2 linked regions of the Astyanax mexicanus genome follow. The main gene of each other region encodes a partner of the protein of the gene in region 2 in a complex. Links are inferred from orthologs where the notes say so. Each region holds a gene or a part of one and is shown on either strand. Other genes may lie near its edges.

The links. Proteins that work in one complex are often made in the same cells at the same time.
Region 1: the proteins of prim2 (region 2) and prim1 are in contact, whole or in part, in a crystal structure (PDB 5EXR), measured with the Homo sapiens proteins. The link is inferred for Astyanax mexicanus from reciprocal best matches to the Homo sapiens genes PRIM2 and PRIM1. Residues at the interface, in NP_000938.2 of Homo sapiens: Glu165, Ala168, Ser169, Pro171, Ser172, Phe188, Ala189, Leu192, Phe195, Arg196, Gly197, Arg198, Val200, Tyr201, Leu202, Glu203, Asp204, Gly205, Phe206; in NP_000937.1 of Homo sapiens: Lys147, Glu148, Asp149, Phe150, Gly151, Phe152, Ala180, Val181, Gly184, Ile185, Glu187, Tyr188, Ser190, Leu191, Lys193, Lys207, Ile208, His209, Pro210, Ile212, Arg213.

The regions. Positions count from the first base shown.
Region 1 is NC_064420.1:33,009,286-33,019,979, forward strand, and holds the start of prim1 (DNA primase small subunit), read left to right. Parts: upstream 1-5,882; 5' UTR 5,883-6,008; coding exon 6,009-6,117; intron 6,118-7,776; coding exon 7,777-7,934; intron 7,935-8,033; coding exon 8,034-8,140; intron 8,141-8,239; coding exon 8,240-8,313; intron 8,314-8,472; coding exon 8,473-8,609; intron 8,610-9,467; coding exon 9,468-9,526; intron 9,527-9,949; coding exon 9,950-10,059; intron 10,060-10,248; coding exon 10,249-10,340; intron 10,341-10,615; coding exon 10,616-10,694. UniProt on the Homo sapiens protein: Catalytic subunit of the DNA primase complex and component of the DNA polymerase alpha complex (also known as the alpha DNA polymerase-primase complex - primosome/replisome) which play an essential role in the initiation of DNA synthesis.
Region 2 is NC_064414.1:43,401,683-43,412,917, forward strand, and holds the start of prim2 (DNA primase large subunit), read right to left. Parts: upstream 5,384-11,235; 5' UTR 5,300-5,383; intron 5,264-5,299; exon of another isoform or gene 5,244-5,263; intron 4,292-5,243; 5' UTR 4,283-4,291; coding exon 4,138-4,282; intron 4,044-4,137; coding exon 3,931-4,043; intron 3,618-3,930; coding exon 3,514-3,617; intron 2,830-3,513; coding exon 2,709-2,829; intron 2,029-2,708; coding exon 1,933-2,028; intron 1,308-1,932; coding exon 1,170-1,307; intron 1-1,169. UniProt on the Homo sapiens protein: Regulatory subunit of the DNA primase complex and component of the DNA polymerase alpha complex (also known as the alpha DNA polymerase-primase complex) which play an essential role in the initiation of DNA synthesis.

The DNA.
Region 1 (10,694 bases), on a different chromosome or scaffold from region 2:
TTGGATGAGAGCCTCTAGGAGCGGAGTGTTCAGGGAAATGGAACAGTAAGCACCACTCTATAAAGGTTCATTCTCCATCCCTCTCTTGAGACATGCGACCCTTTGACTCCTGTATTATACCACTGCATAACTAATACGGTTCATATGCTCTAAAACATATATGAGAAAGAAAATATGAATGAAAAATATTGATCCCTATTTGTAATCATGTGTTAAGACTTTTAGAGCAATATGTGAATGAAATTTTTAAGGTCCTTTTAAGGTCCCCCGGGAAAATTCTGTTGTGTTGTGACTCACTTCCGTTTGTGTTGTGGTTGTATTTGCAGCTCGTTTTTCTATTTGCAACATGTTTTTCTTTTTGCAGCGCGTTTTTCTATTTGCTGCGCCTGTGTTGTAATTTTGATGGATGTGTTTTGTGCTTTTGCAGCGCTTTTCAATTTGCACTGCGCTGGGCTTTCTCGGCCACCGTAACTAGTGTCAAAGGGTCCCAACTGATAACTGGTCACACATGTCTCTCAAAACAAATCAATCAAAAATTGTTAGATTGTTATGCAAAACATGGGAGTGTAGACCAAAAAGAACATTTCATATTTATAAAATCCCTGTTTTTGATCATTTATACATTTTACTAACAAACACACTATTGAATGCTGCTAACTGTGAAATAGACAACATGCACTGATCAGCCATGACATTACTACCACTATATATATGTAGTAAAGTAAAAACATTGATCGTAAACAGTAGTGTTTGTTAAGGGGTGGAAATGTGACAAGGCTCAAAAACAGATAGAACTTGTGGATTTTTTTTCTGTGGGAAGGCAGTGTTTATTACCTTTAACCCTGTCATCAATAACCCAGTTCTCTACTAACTAATGTAAATTTGTATGTACGCATGTCATTTTCATTTTTATAATATTATTAAATTCCAGAGCGTGCTTTATTACATTTGACATAGTTATATTACTATATATCTGACAGTGGGACACCCCTAGTAGTGATACAAGAAACACTAACAGCTCAGTGAAATGAGCACGTAATTTTGCAGCCAGATATATCAAACTGGCATTGTTCATCAGGATAATGCTCACCCACACACAGCAAGGGCTTTACAATAATGCCTCCTCCATATAGCGACACTTCCTTGGCCTGCCCGGTTGCCTCCATATAGCTTAGCGTAATTTTTGCACTATAAGGCGCACTTAAAATCCTTTAATTTTCCCAAAAATCATCAGTTCACCTTATGCATGAAATTTACCAGTCAGGTTGAAAGCAGCAGTAAAGATAATCCGCTAAAGTACAGCGTTATAAAAGAGTTTCAGTTTAGTTCTACAGCAATATTAGCATTAGCTGATTTGGCCGTTCAGAGGTGAGTATTATCGGTTTGTAGCCTGCTGCTAACCCCGGCTAGCACTGCTGAAGCAGCACATTAGCATTAGCGGCTCATCACAGCGCTAGTTCTTTTACCTGTTCAGAGGTGAGTAATGTTATATTAGACTGTAGCCTGCACGTTTACCGTGTTAAAACAGGCAATGTGGGACAAATAAATAAGCAAATATCGCCCTGGCTTATCGGAACACTCAGGGTTCCTCAGTGTAGCGCTGTTGGGTAGCATTAGCTGCTAACCGCTAGTGGTTAGCCGATAATGCTAATGCTTTAGCTTTAGTGGAAATCTGTGAATCTAAGCTTACTGTAAATAAACGGAAGTGTTTAACTCACCCAAATAAACAGTTTTTAAGAGAGAAATCTGTGTAGATTAACAACCAGTGCTCGTTGACTTGTCTCGTCTGAAATTGTTATTTTTTTTAAGAAATACAGTTTTGTTTACTTAACTAAACTTAGCTTTACAGGTCTCGCCACCTGCTGAATTAGCCTTATAATTTAATGCGCCTTATGTATTAAAAGAGACATTTATTATTTATTATAAAAATAGACATTTATTGATAGTGTGGGTTATAATCTGGTGCGCCTTATAGTGCGAAAAATACGACAGTTATTGCCTTCATCAAGCATTTATGGAACCAGATTCATTCCAGCAACCTACCAGTGTGCAGGATCTGTGTGTACAATCTGTGTGTAGTTTAGCCTTAAAGAGATAACCAATGCTATAGAATGATTTTTTTGGAAAGTGAACAGTGTGATAGCTTAAAGGTTATTAAATGTACTAGAGGTCTCGAAACAGACACTGCAGTTAGTCAGATTTTTAACACCACAATTACTTTGTAAAAAGGAGGACAACAGAGAGATCACAGTGTTTGTGAGCATAGTTTACACACAGGTCTCCTCATCAGTGTAGAGCAATGGGAGGGAGGCGATGTGAGAAAAGCTAGCGATGTATGATCCCTATGGAAACGCATGACTCATCTCTCCAAACACACACACCACACACACAGAGTGAGACTTGCTCACAGGGAGTCACAGACATCCCCACTACTGATGCTACTCCAGTGTCTACAACCACTGCACTGCAGGTTGGCAGAAGAAAGAGGAGAAGGCCATAAAAAGGACCAGGAGAGGCTTTTCTTTACTAAACTCTGACCTCTAGTGATTGAAATGCAGAGCTGCACATGAAACAGCAACATTGCTACTGGTTTGTCGTAGTCTCTTTTATTTATACATGGAGCTCAATATATTACTTAAGCCTGATAATCCTTTTTTTTTTTTACAATAGAGATCCTTGTTAAAGAAAAATGCATATAAGTATATTTTCTAAAAGTATATAGTAAAAGTATATTTTAGCATTAAAATGAATACGTACTTAAATACATACTAAATGTACTATTTTGGAAGAACTTACGGCAGCTTCAGTATATTTCAATGGTAATTAAGATATATTAAAATACAATAGGTTGTGCTTTTGAGTGCTTTTTTGTATATATTCTGCGAACGTAAGTAGATTTAAGTATGTCATAATTTTTAATAGACTTGAAGTATATTGTACATGTAATAGGAGCTCTAAAGGTCTGAATAAGCAAATATAGATTACCCACATTACCCATATTACAGATTACCAATTCTGTGGCTAATGCATCTTGTTTGCATTCTCTTCTATACCATGTAGAAGGGACATTTAAATGATAAATATTAATATTAAGATTATTATGTGTGAGAGACACCTTTTAACTAAAAGCAGAAACCCCTCTATCATCAACCTTAAAATATGTAATGCAACCAAAAAATAAATGGGTACCACTTTAAAATAAGACTAGCTTTATAAAGGGTTTATAATTGGTTTACAATAAGTTTATTAATGGTTACAAATTAGGTTGTAAATGCCTTAAAAATAATTAATAATCAGTTATAGCACATACGTAGAAAGGGCAACACTATAGAAGGATGTGGGTTTACTATTTGACAAACAACAGGTCATTGTTGCCCTTTCTACATACAGGGTTTCCGCCACGTTCATTTCAGTGCGGCGGTCCGCCACGCCTTCGTTCTTCCCCGCCACCCTTCGTGAAAATTCGGAGCCCGGCGTTTTTCCCGCGCTTGATCAGCGTTGCCCCTTCGGGGGTGGAAATCGGTAGAGAGAGTGTGAGTATAGGACACAGCGAGAGAGAGAGACTGAAACATAACGCGAGAGAGAGAGAGAGAAGAGAGCGAGAGCGCGCCTGTAAATAGCGAGAGAGAGAGACTGAAACATAATGCGAGAGAGAGAGAGAGAGAGAGAGAGAGAGAGAGACTGAAACATAATGCGAGAGAGAGAGAGAGAGAGAGAGAGAGAGAGAGAGAGAGAGAGAGAGAGAGAGAGAGAGAGAGAGAGACTGAAACATAATGCGCGCGCGCGAGAGAGAGATGAATTAAACAGTGATTAAACAGCTTCAACTTACGCAGGTGTCCACTCAGGCTCACTCACCTGGTGGAGTGAAAATCACGCTATGTTTCTGTTTCTGGAGCTGTCATAAAGCAAGGATGTAGGGCCCTAGAATAGAGGCACCCTAGAACAGCTCTGTGATGCATTTGTTTTCACGGTCCAGTAAACATTTTATTGTAATTAAATTAAAGATTAAAGATATTATTTGTCTGTTTTAATAAGCACAATTTTTAATTAAATTCAATAATATTTTTTATTTTATTTACTCATTCTCACATTTAAAATACCTAATACAGATAAGAGCGAATAAATAATACATATATATTCTGTTGTGCCCTTTCTCCTCTGTTATGTATAATTTAACATTTTGTGTTGCACACTTTTACGTTTACCGTATCTGAAAAAAGAACAATAAGGATTTATTTTAAAGAAACCTACTTTTTGCAACTTTTTGTTTTAAGTGGGCATTTTTCAGTGACAGTTGGAAATAAAGAAAATAACTGGAAACATGTGTAATTGTGTTATATCGTGATATCATTAACGTGATATAAATTATCGGTTCCCAACCGGGGGGTCCTGCCACCGCACCTTCAAGGAAATCCTGGGGGAAACCCTGACATATGTGTTATAACTGATTATTAATGATTTTTTAAAGCATTTACAACCTTATTAGTAACCATTGATAATAATACTAATTGTAAACCCTTTATAAAGGTAGTCTTATTTTAAAGTGGTACCAATAAATGTATATTCACTGTTCTTTGCTACCAGGGTCAAAACTATGTACATGGAAATGTATATGAAGGTTAAAGCATTGAAGAGTTGACCAAGGATTCTCCAATATAATACGAAAGTAATAAATGACTTAATATCATATTTACTAACATGAATTGGTGTAGGCTAAATAACAGTGAATGTGCAAGTGTCCCAATACTTTTGCCAATATAGTGTAGAGAACTTATGTGGAGTGAGTGACAGAAATTAGCATTTCTCTTGCACGTCTTAGGGTCCATAATAAGGTTACAGTGGTGTGCAAAAAAAAAAAAAAAAGTTTGTTGGGTGGTAATTAATAGGGGGGCAGACTGAATGTGTGTGGGCTGTCAGCATTTCTGCCCTGAACCACTGTCCCAGTATGGCCCTGCACAACAAATAATCACAAAAAATCTCACAATTTAATCCAACCATACATTAGAAAATTTGAAAAGACTGAAAGCTTGTTTAAAATACCAAAGTGTGACACTCTCACACATCTTAAGGCATCTCAACATTTATCATCACTCTGTATATATTGAACATCGTCCAGGGTATTTACAAGATCCACTATTTACAAGATTGCAACTAATTTATTGAGGTTATTTCCCCTTCATGCCCGTAGTTGAATGTACAAGGAACTGTGGAGCAAAAACAAATAAAGAAATCTGACAAAACTAAACAGTGGGTAAATCAGCTAATTTATGATTATTTAGAGCTTCTTCTTATCTCTGTGTTGTATTATTTATTTACAAAAAAGGCTCTATTTTACACTAGGTAACCTAGGTAGTTAGCTTAGTTAACCTACCATCTTTTGTAAATTAAGATTAGTACACACACTGCTATTGTCAGGTTACATTAGATATTAAATCATTTATACTAGGGGTGGGCGATACGACCCTAAGATTATATCACAATATTTCAGGGTATTTTTGTGAAAATATATTTGGTGACATGACAAAACACTGACAATGATTAAACTAATTTCAAGAATATGCTACTCTGTAACAAAATAAGAATAAAATAATTTAAGTATTATAGTTTCATAAATAGAAACTAAATAAACTTATGAAGTCTTTGATTTGGTATGAACAAAATAAAAAATATAAATAGCAAAAGCTTTCAAGAACGTTTCAAGAGTTTTTTTTATTGTGTCAGATTTTTTTTACCCAATTAATACTCCTGTTTTATATAGAAATGTTATATGTTCATAGCTTTTATAATAACTGCAGAGAAACTCAGACATGGCTGTTGATGTCAGCCAGGACTCCAGAGGGCAGCAGATCCTCCTGAGCTGAAGCGGTCGGGACTCCGGGCGGGACAGGCGAGGGAGGCGCTTCGTCATTTCCCCGGGTTTCCCGCGCTGCGCTCGGATTCAGGTTTGCAGTGTGTACTACAGATACAGCTAGAGCAGTGACAGCGGCTTTAACATATAAATAATAATAATGTCAAACTCAGACTATGATCCTGCCTGTTTACCTGATCTACTGCCGCTCTATTACCGCCGGCTCTTCCCCTTCTCACAGTATTACCGGTGGCTGAGCTACGGAGGTGGTGAGTACATTAATCTTTATAATTTAATATAATCTCAGTGAGGATCACCAGTAGGATAACTAGTTTACGCAAACTAACCTACTTACTAGATAGAGTAACTGACCGACTGCCTTTCTAAGCCGAATAAGAGTAGTGTCTAGTCCTAAACTAACAACGCTGTAAATATAACATAAACACTCTTTGGCTGCAGCTTAGAGGCAAGAAAGTGAAGTTCAGAAACTAAAAAGCTGCTCCTCTCTTTTAACTTTATAATGTGAACTACTGGCTCATTAAGTCTGTTCTTAATAACCCAGCTTTTTGTTGCAAAACTCTTATCTCGTTGTTCATTGAGCAGTGTAGACAAAGGCTGGGTCCCAAATGTAAAATTGTCTCTCTGTATTTTTATTTTCAGAAAGTGAGAAATGACTGAATTAAAAAAAAAATGTGCAGAGCTTTCAGACCTCAAATAATGCAAAGAAAACAAGTTTTAAGAGTTCAAAAATCAATATTTGGTAGAATAAACCTGTGTTTTTAATCCAAGGTTTCATGCATCTTGGCATGTTCTCCTCCACCAGTCTTACACACTGCTTTTGGATAACATTATGCCACTCCTGGTGCAAAAATTCAAGAAGTTCAGCTTGGTTTGATGGCTTGTGATCATCCATCTTCCACTTGATTATACTTCAGAGGTTTTCAATTCGGTAAAATCAAAGAAACTCACAATTTTAAATGGTCTCCTTCTTTCATTCTTTACTTTGAAACTTTCTAACGTTACTACATTTCAGAGTATTGCTCTGATGGTTGATTGCATCCAGTGACAGCAGCTTTAGTGAGATCAGGATGGTGGATGGTCACCACTCCACCTCATCCCAAAAGTACAGGATGGAGCACCATCATGCCTGGGCACACAGATCTACGACATAGTGCCAATAGGTTTATGTTTATTCGCATCAGACAGGCTTATTCTATTAACAGTCTTTTTTTTTTTTTCATATTAAAGCCAAATTTAAAACCGAGTAAGATAAAATTAGTGAGTATTTGTCTTTTTGTGGGAACATGACAATGTTTTTTTTGGGTTAAATTTTGATGTAACAAAAATGACACAACAGCAATTTCATAACATGTATTTTAACATTTTGTTCTTGAAATCTTATCAGAACTAGTCATATAGAACATAAAAAAAAAAAAATTAAAGCAATTGAATTGTTAAACTTGTTGGAACAGATCAGTAAAAGCAAAACATACACTTTTATAAATAGCTGCTTTTATCTTAAGGACTAACCCAGTACACCTACATTCTGTAAATAAGGTCACTTAAACGAACACAGATTCACACACTGTCCTGTAATGATTCTCTCAGGATGTTTAGTAGATGTCACTTTATGGGACTTCATGATTTAGGACAAAGTTCTGTAATAAACTTTTCACACCTTTTAAAGGGTCTGTGATATGTCACCTTGGGTTCTTTTAGGCCAAAGCAGTTAAATTCATTCAAAGCGGTGTCCACAAAATATTTGGTCATTATTTGTACGTTTGTAATGCTATATTAAGATTCTTTGAATAAGCGTATTTAATAGAAAGAAATATCAAAGAAGTATCATGCTTATCCCATATTACATAACCCGTCTAGCTAATAGTTCATTCTTTATATCTTAACACTGTGAATGTTCTATTCACCAGTGACCAAGAACTACTTCCAGAACCGTGAGTTCTCGTTCACCCTGAAAGATGATATCTATGTTAGATACCAGTCTTTCAGCACACAGAACGAACTGGAGAAAGAGATGCAGAAAATGAACCCCTACAAGATCGACATCGGAGCTGTCTACAGCCACAGGGTGAGGAGACTTAATGATTCTTTCACTATGTGCAATGTCCTGTTGTTAAGCATGTGTAATTATTCTATCTTACTCTCTGTGTGTTTCTGTGACTGACAGCCCAGTCAACACAACACGGTGAAATCTGGAACGTTTCAGGCCCTGGAAAAGGAGCTGGTGTTTGATATTGATATGACTGACTATGATGATGTCAGAAGCTGCTGCAGGTACCTCAGCCTACCTACTATTTTATATGAAAAACCTTTTTCTTTATAACTTTTACTGTGTGTTTATATGGTATTTAATTTATTTACTTTTATTTTCAGTGCTGCAGATATTTGCAGTAAGTGCTGGACACTGATGACCATTGCCATTCGAATTCTAGACCGAGCACTGAGAGGTAAAAGTTGTCTTTTCTTTGTCTTATAGGCTAAACACTACTATCTAATGTACTGCACACATTCTCATACCATACAACAAGTAAAGCAGAACTGTCTCTGTAGTTGTGACGTGGAAAAACAATTCTACACAATGTATATTTTATGTTTTTGTGGATTAGAGGATTTTGGCTTCCAGCACCTCCTCTGGGTGTACTCTGGCAGGAGAGGCGTTCACTGTTGGGTGTGTGATGAAGCTGCCAGGAAGCTCTCAGTTGCTGCTCGTTCCGCTGTGGCAGAGTACCTCAGTTTAGTCAAGGTGAGAAAAAAAAAAAAAAAAAAAAACAATACTTACATCTCAGCATTAAAACCATATCAATTATACATCAATTATAGCATAAACAGTAAGCAGGGTAGTATGTGTTGAATAATACATCCCAAGATGTGTGTTTATAGAATACAGAAACACAAAGGGTCAAAGATTGATCCACACAAACTGCAGTTAAAACATGTACTTGTAATTTGTCAATGATTGTGTAATGTTTACTGTTGCTGTCCAATGAAAAACATGTTTCTCCAAAAAAGCAGATAAAACCATCTTAACTTTTAATGGAAGTCAATGTAAAAATATGTTATGTCAGGGCATTTTAGAGAATTTCTCTTGGTCCAATCATAAAGAAATGTTGACACAATGTAAGGCACAGTTTGTGTGTTCAAATTAAGTAGTAAACTAAAAATTGTCAAAAATTAAGATTAACATGTTTTTCATTGGACAATGACTATATACTAGTTCACATTTTACAGCAGCTTGGGATATGCTAAAAACAAGTAGATTTTAGAACTGTACCAATCCAACATAGTTCTTCTACACAGTTAATACATGTTTGGCTCCACTAAATCTTTAGTTAAACACTTTCAATTTGTTGTAAATAATCAAAATAAATACTTACAAAGTAAATGTTTGCTTGCTGGCACCCACATGACCTTATTACAGTATATTTGCAATATTTTGTCCCTGTTGTTGCTAAATATTAAATTTCTTATCTATTCTAACTTTTCCTGATGGATGTTTAGAAGTAATATTTTTATTAAAGAGGTTTCTTTAGTTCTGGAATTGATAAGGATTTGTTTAAAATGGACATTGTTCCAAAAACTGACTTTGCATGCATATGTTTAGGGTGGCGAGGAGACAGTGAAGAAAGTTGTGCTGTCCGATCCAATTCATCCCTTCATCAGGTAAAGGAAGACTTTCGTTAGAAAGACTGGTTTATTCTAGCAAGGCAATAACCTTATTATATATATACTTTTTGTGCTAGTGCTTTTCTGAATGCCAACACTTACTGGCTATGGATGCCATCAGTGCAAACCATTGAGCACATTTACATTCACAATAATCTATTCATAACATGTATTCTCTTATTCTGATTTCTTTTAGTTTTTCAGTCTGCATATGCATGCAAACATAATCGATTATTTGTTCAAAAAAGCTTTTTTTTTTTTTAGCCTTCTCTACTATTTGCATCATCAGGCAATATTCTGAAATCTTGCGTTAACCAGCGTTTAAAATATCCTTTAAACGTGTTTATACATTTAAATGTACCTAAATAGTCTATTTACTTTTGATTCTGCTTCTAATGTGTATCATTTTCTGTTAAACAGCCAGTCTCTCTCAGTGGTGGAGCATTACTTCCTTCAGTACGCCATTGTGGGACAGGAGCTGCTAAGCAGCAAGGAGGGCGTAGACAAAGTACTCAACCTGCTGCCAGAAGATATCCTTTGTGCTGTGTCTGGAATGGTTCCCTTGCTAACTAGTCTGGTGTTGTAGTACATTGTTCACTATGCTTTGTTTACTGTCAAGTAAACTGACTGTAGAGCAACCTTGAAATATGGGAGAAAATAATACTTCAGAAACCCTAAGGGCTTAATGTGGTGCTGTTTCTTTAACGTTATAAATGTACATGTCAGAAAGGATCTGCTGCTTCATTATCAGAGTGAGAAAAATCCAACAAAGCGCTGGGAGAGGCTGAAGACCCTGGTGCATCAGAAAAGGGTAAATGAGCCTGTCAGAGTAATTTGTTGTTTGTAAAATCATATTATGCCACTGATATAAGGATAATATAACTGCATAATAATGCAATTGCACCCTTTTAAAAAGCGAAACACCTTTAATTATTAAAAGAATATTCAAATTTTAAGGCTGGAATGTTATTTTTTGTACAATAGTTTGATAATTGAATTATTGTGACAGGCCTAAATGCAGCGTACATAACTGGAATGTTTAAAATGTTTAAAAATACTTGGTCATACATGTTTCTAATGGAGCAGGCCACCAGTAAGAAAGGCGGTCAGTACTTTGATAAGGAGATCATGCTACAGTACTGTTACCCACGCCTGGATGTCAACG
Region 2 (11,235 bases):
CACATTACCTCCACCATGCTTAACAGATGGCGTCAGGCATTCTCCAAGCATCTTTTCATTTGTTCTGCGTCTCACAAACGTTCTTCTTTGTGATCCAAACACCTCAAACTTGGATTCATCCGTCCACAACACTTTTTTCCAGTCTTCCTCTGTCCAATGTCTGTGTTCTTTAGCCCATCTTAATCTTTTTCTTTTATTAGCCAGTCTCAGATATGGCTTTTTCTTTGCCACTCTGCCCTGAAGCCCAAAATCCCGCAGCCGCCTCTTCACTGTAGATGTTGACACTGGTGTTTTGCGGGTACTATTTAATGAAGATGCCAGTTGGGGACCTGTGAGGCGTCTGTTTCTCAAACTAGAGACTCTAATGTACTTATCTTCTTGCTTAGTTGTGCAACGCGGCCTCCCACTTCTTTTTCTACTCTGGTTAGAGCCTGTTTGTGCTGTCCTCTGAAGGGAGTAGTACACACCGTTGTAGGAAATCTTCAATTTCTTAGCAATTTCTCGCATGGAATAGCCTTCATTTCTAAGAACAAGAATAGACTGTCGAGTTTCAGATGAAAGTTCTCTTTTTCTGGCCATTTTGAGCGTTTAATTGACCCCACAAATGTGATGCTCCAGAAACACAATCTGCTCAAAGGAAGGTCAGTTTTGTAGCTTCTGTAATGAGCTAGACTGTTTTCAGGTGTGTGAACATGATTGCACAAGGGTTTTCTAATCATCAATTAGCCTTCTGAGCCAATGAGCAAACACATTGTACCATTAGAACACTGGAGTGATAGTTGCTGGAAATGGGCCTCTATACACCTATGTAGATATTGCACCAAAACCAGACATTTGCAACTAGAATAGTCATTTACCACATTAGCAATGTACAGAGTGTATTTGTTTAAAGTTAGGACTAGTTTAAAGTTATCTTCATTGAAAAGTACAGTGCTTTTCCTTCAAAAATAAGGACGTTTCAATGTGACCCCAAACTTTTGAACGGTAGTGTGTATATATATATATATATATATATATATATATATATATATATATATATATATATATATATATATATATATATATATATATAAACAAATAATTTCTAAAAGGATATGCATGTTTTACAAAACAAAAAGAATAGAAAGTCAGAAGAGAGATTATATTGAACAGTAAAACAAGGAACTTACTGCGAGAGCTTTGGAAAGTCTTGTGCGGAAGTCATTCAGAACAATTGTGACAATATCCTGGTGGGGAATGTAGGCATAACCACCTCTCAGGAAGACTTTCCTCGTCCGTATTAAATCCAAGGCATCTTGGAAAGGGACCTGCATCAATGTACAATATAAAATGATTGGCAGTCTTTGTCAATATTGTGGCTCTGCTTAAATTGCATATACATATACTACATAATAAACAGAAGTGTTGTGTATTAAAACCCTGTTGGATAGAACGCAAAGGGTACAGGGGAGAGGCAGTGAAAGTGTGCAAACAAGTAGTTTAAGTTTATTTTTACACATTCTATTAAATCACGTATGCTTGGTATCAGTTTAAACAAACACTGTTTTTAATAGTAACATTAGCTAAGCTACCAAAGGTTGTTTATTTTTGTGTAAATTCCATTCACATGGGACTTGATTAGTAATGCTAAGGTAAATGTATAACTAAAACTACACTGTTGTGATAAATGTGTGACTAGCACTGCTGAAATTAATTCATAATTAGAACTGCACTAAGAGACAAAAGTACTGTTGGTATGTCTACTGGGATATTTTCAATAGTAAGAAAAATGTCAAAATGAAAACCTGTGAAATCTTTCAGCCAAATGTTTTCAAATATTTCAAGTATTTTCATTTTTTTTTCATTTAAAGCAAATCAGTAACTCTGTATCTCAGAAACAGACTAAACTGCTTGATTACTGTAAGATGGAAAGAATCTGAATTTTGGTCTTACCTTGTAGAAATCCTGCTCCACAATAGTGATTCCACTAAAACCAAAAGTGGAGTTTATGAGCTGATCTTTCAGATTCATCTTTTCATCCGCACTTAACTGTCAAAGGGAGAGAATGCAAGCAACTTACAAACATAGATCAACATAACAGAAAGCAAACATCAGAGTACAAGCACAAAAAATGACCGAGAAGAACACATGCTATAACATATTGCAATAACAAATGATTATTGGTTGTTGCCATAATAAGCACCATAAATACATGTAAAATTAGCGACTGCTCATGGACCTCATGAATTAAAGGATGACCACATTGTTAACATGTAGAATATCGATATCCAAGCTTTGAGGAAATATTATTATTGCTAGTTCACCAAGTTTACAAAAACTCTGATATTTAGCCAATAAAATATAGACTAAGAGAATAATAAAGTATTTCCATGGTCCCCCCTAAAGCGCTTTAGCTTTAATACACCATATTTATGGGCATTTAAAACCCCCTACAGACATAATAAAGTCAGCCTCCTCATGAAAACAGCAGGTGCCATTTATCCATCAGTGAGCATTTAGCTCCACCTGCTGTTCAAACACACACATGCTTTTTCTTTACAGCACAATATTCTTAAAATCAGGTCTGAGGGCCTGTGTATTAAGTGTGTTTATCAGGTTAGATTCGTCACAGGAACAAATAATAAAGATTATCACAGCTTTCAAAATCAAACCTAAAATTAGCTAATACCTGATGAACTGTTCAATCAAGCACAAAATAAAATGCTTACCGTGTCATATTTCAGATTATTTTTATGCAGAAACTCAGTCTTATACTTGGAGCTGAGGTCATTGAAACGGTGGCGAAAAAGGTCCATTTCCTGCTGGATAAACCACCGTCTGAGATCCTCCCTAAAAAAAAGGTTAGTTTAGTTTCTTTCGGTTTTTCAAAAAAAAAATAAATAAATAAATAAAATAAAGGAACTGGATTTGTGTTGGTTTTATATGCATTTGTCCACATCTCCACTATAAAAACAGTGCACTACATCGTACATTTAGATTCAAAATATGTTTAGTATTGCAATGGTTTTGCAATAGCAATGGGATTGCAAATAGTATTGCAATCTCTACAATCTCTTGTCCCTCTTAGTTTATCTTAATTGGATGAAGGACAGGACAAAAATCTAGATATAATATTAATAGAATTTGTGACAATTTTTTGAAAAGGTCACACAAAAGGGCAAAATAACTTAAAACCTGGGGGGGGGGGGGGCACATTTGGGGCACTACGCATCCCTACAATTCAGTTATATTATTTTTACTGTGATTTAAAGATATATATTTATTATATATTTTATTTCTATATATTTTAGTTTCTATTTCTGCATATATCTTATGTGTTTAAGTTGTTCAACATCTCTGCCTTAGTTCATGTGAAGTGGCAGCTATCAAATGATTTAAGTGGCAATTCAGAATGACCAAAGTGTTAAACATAGGATGGAAACAGAAATACTGAATGAAGCATTAAGATTAAGACCCAAGTACAAGTACCTTTATGGAAAGAAAGAAAAAGGGGGGAACAAGGGGAACACTTACGTTTGGCAATATGCCAGGCGCAGAATAAAATGAGAGATGTGGTCTTTCCTTCGCTTCTCATATTCAGATGGTCCAACCTGACTTTTGGTAAAACTTGCCTCATCCTAATATAGAGAAACAGTGAACTTTAAACAACTACCATTACAACAGGGTAACAAGTTCAGTAAAATGAATAACAAATCAAATATAAACATTTTGCCACTGCAGCAAAGCAAGACCTAAAGATTAAGCTACTCCAGAGTACAAACAATATCAGGTAACATTTCTCAAAAGTAAATCTATCCAAAGCCAATTTTTTCCTTGTCTAAAAGACAACCATTGTAAGCAGATTTAATAGCTTTTAAATCACAGTGTGAGGAACCTTTATGTATCAGCTAAATCTAAATGCTAAAAGTGAAAAATAGAACATTTCCTTACCACTTCTGCTTTGTGTGGGAAATTAAGGTTTGAGATTTCAGCGTGAAGTTTCTTGGTGTACTGCTCCGTTGTTTTCACATAGCTGACACCAAGGTTCTCCACAGTCTTCAACACTTTAGATGGGAAAATAAAAAAAATAATTAGACAAAACAAATGTAGGACATGGACAATGAGAAGCGATGACCAGGAGCTGTGGTCTCGACTTACATTTCAGCCTCTCCACTGCAAAGGTCTCAAACTCGCTGAGGGATATGTTCTCCAGAGGAGGCTGCACATACAGCTGCAGACAGTGGCTGTAGAGATCATTCTGAGAGTGAACTGCAAGCTTCCTCCTTCTGCCTGAGAACTGCATGGTCTCTTTCTGAGCAAAGAAAAACAGCCCATTTTATTTTCACTAGTTTTAACATCTGATGCCTTCTGCTAGGTAACTGTCAATTAGAAAGTATCTGTACACTTTATGAACACCTTATTCATTAATTTCTTTCAAAATCAAGGCTGGTGTGGGCAGATAGCTGGACAGTATTAGGTGTGTGTTTAAAGTAACTGTTAGTTCACATGTTTGGCTGCTTTCTTAAAAATTTAGCATATCCCATAAGACCTCAGACCCAGCTCTGAATACTAACCCAAAATGTAAAACAAGTTAAATTAATTGTTGCTCCAGTACCCTTTAAAACATGATTAAACCATGTCATAACCTACATTTTAACATTTTGTCCTAGAAATGGTGTCAGAATGTGTCATATGGGAAGAAAACAGTTCAATAAAAATAAAAATCCATATCGTGATATCGCAATGTTATTGAAAGAAGTCCATTTTGTTTCTTCTGCATATTTTTGCTCTTTACTGTACACTTTTAATAGCTTGTTCGCAGTTTATACTCATGCACTACATAACTACAAGTCATTTATACTAAACAAACTCTTAATATGTTGTTACATCACAATTTCAGCCTTAAAAAACGTAGTAATGTGCCCTTAAATCTTAAGTCACCCTGAAGTCACTGTTAACCCATATTTTAACCACATAATGTAGCTCTTTATATCAGCTAACCTACACAAACAGGCGACTCATTCAAAGCTAACTATCTAAGCTGGTAGTTACTTAATTAGTTAGTTAGCTGGCTGGCTAGCCGAGCTATACAGCCAATAATACCAGTAAACGCTAGTTTAAAGCTAGTTATCTAGGTTAGAGTTACCCGCTAGCTAACCTTAGGTTAGCTGGTTACCGTATCCGAGCTACAATAAGCGCCAGTTACACAACACAGCTTTAAACAGCCTACTAGCGCTTCTCCCCAAGTGTAAAATAGTCCTCACAGTAAACACTGCTCCCGCGGCGCCGTTAAAGTCTTTAAAACGGTTAAAAACATTACCTTTACTTTACAATAACAAACAGCCCGCCGCCGAGTCTCTTCCTGTCGCGCGAGTCCCGCCAACAGCCTGATCCGAACTAACGGCGCGAAAATGACGCGAGAGCCACAACGCACCAATCAGAGCAGCGCTCGAGCCGCCCCGCTCCGCTGCACTGAAATGAAACAGCGGCGCCATGTGTTCAAACCCTGCAGTGCAGCAGAGAGAGAGGAACCAGAACTGTGTTGACAATGGTTCACTCTTTACCTCAAGTTAACTCAGGTTATTCCATCAAGATGACAATGCCAGGGCTGAAATTGTGAAAGAGTGCTTTAGGGAGCATGAGATCATCATTTTCACACATTGATTGTTCACCACCAGAGTCCAGACCTTAAACCTAGTCAGAATCTTTAGGATGTGCTGGAGAAGACTCTACCATCATCAATGCTGCAAGATCTTGGTGAAAAATTAATGCAACTCTGGATTGAAATAAATTTTATGACATTGCAGAAGCTAAACTTTATGATTTCAGAAACAACCGTGTGAACTTGAAAAGGCTGAAAGATCCAACCAAGCAGAACTTGGTTCCAGAACTCTGTGTTACTTTCTGTCCCAATTTTATTTTACACTTTATTTTATACGTTGTAACTTTTCTTTGGATTTATATTTTATATTTTTATATCTATTTGCTAATGTAACATGGTCAGATTTAAGTCAATATCAGGCCAACAAATGCCCCCCATCAGCATCAGGCCAGGAAAAGCCCACCAGAAAAAAAGTATATTGGCCTTCTTACTGGTCAATTTGATATTTGTCCACTAGAGGACAGCAGCGGTTTTTCCTTTTATATAAATAAACTGAAAACACGCAGATACTTTTAATATTAATTAGATTTTATGGTGATTTGCAAAATATATATAGTAATCATTTAACCAGATCATTTCAGGCTTATTTTGGCATTTAAACATCTGGCGTATAAAGCATATTCCGCAGGTAATTACATGCATAAATAATATATGTAATTAAAAACATTAATAAAAACTGAGAAACACTGAGAAAATAGCATTTTTTACCTGTCCTCACTCCCTAACTATAAACTTAAAATCCTTCAGAGGCTCCAAATCCCATTCCATCCCATGTTTTAATATATGTATATTAACAAGACCTAATTAAGCTCGCTCATTAGTTTTTTTTTTGTATATTTAATCTTATTGTAACTAGGACTATGACTAATCTCAACACTGCCCTGTTACCTAAATTAATTATTAGATTTTAATGGTTTATATTTAAAATACAGATTTTGGGAAAATCAGTAGAATGTGCTCATTGTTTTAATGGCCGCCATTTAGCTTTCTTTATGTTTTTGATAATTCTATGCTAAAAACTCATTTCCGATACTTTAAAAGTGACAGGAATGAGTGCTAGTAACAGGAGTGAGTTCCAGTAACAGGAATGAGTATTGTACCGTGGTTTATTCCCAGATAGCCAGCGACTTTGGCCCGGACTCGTTTCTAAGTCGGCACTGCTGGTTTAGAGTCGCAAGCAGAAAAATACTTCTGGCCCACAGCTGGCCCAGTGTCACTTTCTGACTGTTCTACATCAGTGTCACTGAGCAGTCGTTTTGGTGCTGGTGAAGGACTGACGCACCTGACCTGTTGATTATCTGAACACAGGTGTGTACTGGCTCAAATACGGCAGACGACCCTGTACCAGCACTGTTATAGTACACACACACGCACACGCACACGCACACGCACACACACACAGCCTGTTATAGTACTGCTTCACACACACACACACACACACACACACACGCACGCACGCGCACACACACACACACCCAGAGAGTCTAATTCTATTGGCCACATTTTTCTACATGGACTGGATAAGCTGTGTGTGTGATCACGTTTAGAGTGATCTAGGTGATTTTAGGCTTGTTCGAGATGCGGCTGCGCCTCGCCTTGCTGGTCAGCGAGAGCAGCCGCGTGCAGGTGGGCGGGGTGGAGGAGCGGAGAAGTCAGGTCGGACAGTCTCCACCTGCAGCCCACGTGAACAACACAGGATCTCGCGATGAATGCGCTGTTTGTTTACTTCTGGTGTGAATAAAATCGCAAAAGTGAAACAGAGATAACATGAGTGTTATTAAATTGAGATAAAAACTTGTTATAAATATTCACAAAACATACTGTCATGTTACAGATGTATTGTGTAGTACTAAATTAATAATGGGATTAAATTTTTATTTGCAGACCAGCTTTTCTGTCCTTTGTTCTTGGAAATAAATACATCATGCTCATTTACACAGCTTTAATTGTTTAGCGCATTTCACAACACAAAAACAATATGTGGAGTGTCCAAATAAGTGAGCAGTGTTTTTAATAATAAACCATATTTTATATGCGTTTATAAAAACTGAAGTAAATAAGTGCTTATGTGCAGCGGTCAGGACGGGTTAAAAAAAATCATTAATTTAGTTGCCAATCAGAAGCTAGAGCTTTAGTTGGAGTAGCCAATCAGAAGCTAGAGTTTAGCTTGTTAAGGCGGAGCTAAAATATAGCTTGAGAAGAGCGCGAGAGGGACAGAGACGGTTACGACTTCCTGGGCGGGCTGGAGGGAGGAGAGATGGACGGAAGTGACGCAGGAGAGGGGAGTGAGTCGGACTGGTTAGGGAGTAGGAGCGGGAATTGGGGTGGTGGAGGACCGTGGCAAACTGTTCAGAAAAAAAAAGGTAGGCGTCTGTCAGATGATAGAGAATCAGCTGGAAATGAGAATGGTGCTGAGCAGGTTAAGCGTCGGAAGGAGGAGTATTTGGTGCTTATAAAATTTGATACTGACTCTGGGACTCCGCTAAATCCAATTAGATTGACTACTGAGTTAAAGAAAGCTTTAGGTGACCTGGCTGGAGCTAAGGTTCTGAGGGGGGGGCAGATTCTGATTACCTGTAAGGATGACCGGCAACGAGACAAAGCCTTGAAACTTAAGAGCTTGGGAGGTAGGAAGATTACGACAAGTTTGTTTAGGGAGAGGACGAGGATGAGAGGAGTAATAACTGGAGTTCCACTTGATTTAACAATGGAGCAGATTAAGAAAACCCTGACTGGTGGTAATGTGATTGAAGCTGTCAGATTAAAGGGGTTCAGAGATGGAGCACAGTCAGAAAGCTTGTCGGTAATGATTCAGTTCGAAGGAAATTCTTTACCGGCGAGAGTATTTCTGGGATACATTAGCTTCCCGGTGAGGATATATGTCCCTCCACCGGTGAGATGCTATAATTGCCAGAGGTATGGGCATATAGCCTCTGTGTGTAGGTCACGAAAGAGATGTGGGGTTTGTGGCGGTGAACACGAATATGGGCAATGTGGAGAGGGTGTTAAGCCTAAGTGCTGTAATTGCGGAGGAGATCACAAGGCAGCGTATGGGGGCTGTGAACAGAAGAAGAAGGCTATGGAAGTCCAGAATGTTAGAGCTGTAAGGGGGTTGTCGTATGCTGAAGCGTTGAAAGAAGTGGAAAAGGGAAGAAGTATGGAGTCGAGTCCCCCGAGTCAGGTTCTAAGGACAGCAGACCGTGATAGATCAGCTATGAACCGGCAGGCCCGCAGTGTTAATACACCAGACATGATGATTGTTGAAAAGGCAAAGTTCATTATGTTTATAGCAGAAGTAGTTAATTGTACGGCCCAGACAGGTAGTAGAACTGAAAAAATTAAGATCATTGTTCGATCTGCAGAACGTTATTTGGATATTAGGGGTTTGACTTGGGAGTCAGTCAGTGAGGGCCTGGCTGGGAAAGTAGTTTCCTCCCAGCTAGGTGATGACTAGTGATGGTTTGGTGATTTTACAGTGGAATGCTAGGAGTCTTATTGCTAATGGACAGGAGTTTAAGCATTATGTGGCTCATAGTCAACCGGTGCCTGATGTGATCTGTATACAGGAAACGTGGCTGAAACCCCACTTAAGTTTTACACTTTGTGGATATACTATGGTGCGGAGGGATAGGGCTCATAGTAATGGAGGAGGTGTAGCGATCTTTTTAAAGGAAGGAATAGTATTCCGATCTCTCCCTATTAGTGGGAATCACGAATCTCTTATGGTGGAGATATGGAGCAAATGTGGAAAGTTCACATTGGTGAATTTTTATAATCCATGCGAGAAAATCACTGTGGAGATGTTAAATAGAATTACTGGTTTGGGATATCGTAAAGTGGTGTGGTGTGGAGATTTTAATGCACATAACACATTGTGGGGCAGCTCATTCACAGATAGTAATGGCCAGGTGTTGGAGGATTTTATGATGGACAATGGTCTTGTATGTCTAAATGATGGTAGTGGTACAAGGTTGAATATAGTAAATAATACAATGTCAGTTTTGGACTTGACTTTTTCTTCTGCTGCTTTAGCAGGGATGAGCAGTTGGGGTGTATGTCAGTCTACGTCTATAGGTAGTGATCATTTTCCTGTTGTCTGTGTTTTTGGTATGGAGGTAAACAGAATGAGGGGGGAATTTTTGAGAAGGTGGAATTTTGATAAAGCAAATTGGGAGAAGTTTTCTGAACTTTGTGATCTGAGGCTACAGAATTTGACAGTTTCTGGAGATGTTGATGAATGTAATAAAAAATTGTGTGATATTTTATATAGTACTGCTGAAGAAGCTATTCCGATTAAAAAGCCTCATCAGAAGAAAAAGGCAGTTCCTTGGTGGACGGAGGAATGCTCTAAGGTAGTGAAAATACGCAATAGAGCACTCCAAAAGGTACGGAAAACTTTACTGTTTAGTGATTTGCTGGATTACAGAAGGGCGCAGGCAGTAGTTCGAAGAACAGTTAAAGTAACAAAGAGAGCCTACTGGAGGTCATTTTGTAGTATGATCGGGCCTGACATACATGTGGGGGATGTATGGCACATGATTAAAAAAATGAAAGGAATAAGGAAAGGGACTCTAATACCTGTGTTGCAAGATGGGGGCAAGGAGGCAGTTACTGACACTGAAAAGGCAGAGATGTTAGCCCAGGAGTTTACCAAAGTGCACAGCTCCGCTAACTTAAGTGAAACTATGCTACTGTGCAGGAAGAGAATTCGGCTGCAGAATCCTGGGGCATTGTGTCGGAGAGAAGTATTTGGCAGTGTTTTGGACTCTGCGTTTTCTTTAAGAGAATTAAAGGTGGCTATTGACAAATCTGGTCAGACATCTCCGGGAAAGGATGACATATGTTATGATATGTTTAGACATTTATCAGACTCTTCCCTTTCTGTAATTCTTGAATTTTATAACAATCTGTGGATGCTGGGTAAAATTCCCTCGGCATGGAAATTGGCGGTAGTGGTACCTATTGGCAAACCTGGCAAGGACCTCTCTAGTCCCACAGGATATAGGCCCATCTCTCTTACATCGCATTTGAGCAAGTTGATGGAGCGTATGGTAACTGACAGACTCACTTTCCATCTTGAGAGCCGACGTAGTTTAGCATATTATCAGAGTGGCTTTCGTCAAGGAAGGATGACCATGGATCCTGTATTATGTTTAGAATCAGATGTACGAAAAGCACAATTGTACAAAGAAGTGGTGGTGGCTGTGTTTTTAGACATTGAAAAAGCTTATGACATGCTGTGGACAGAGGGTTTAATGATAAAATTGGGTAAGATAGGAATTGGGGGAAGGGTGTATAATTGGGTATTAGATTTTTTGAGTGAAAGGGCGATACAGATAAGGGTGGGAAATGCATTGTCTAAAGTCTATCGCATAGAAAATGGAACTCCTCAGGGTAGCGTTTGTAGCCCTCTGTTGTTCAACGTCATGATAAATGACATTTTTTCATCTGTGGGCGCAGGAATTGCAAAATCTCTTTATGCAGATGATGGGGCTCTGTGGAAAAGGGGTAGAAATCTCCCTTTTGTTTTGAAACAGATGCAGGAGGCATTAATGAGGGTGGAGTGCTGGGCTAATGATTGGGGTTTTAAGCTG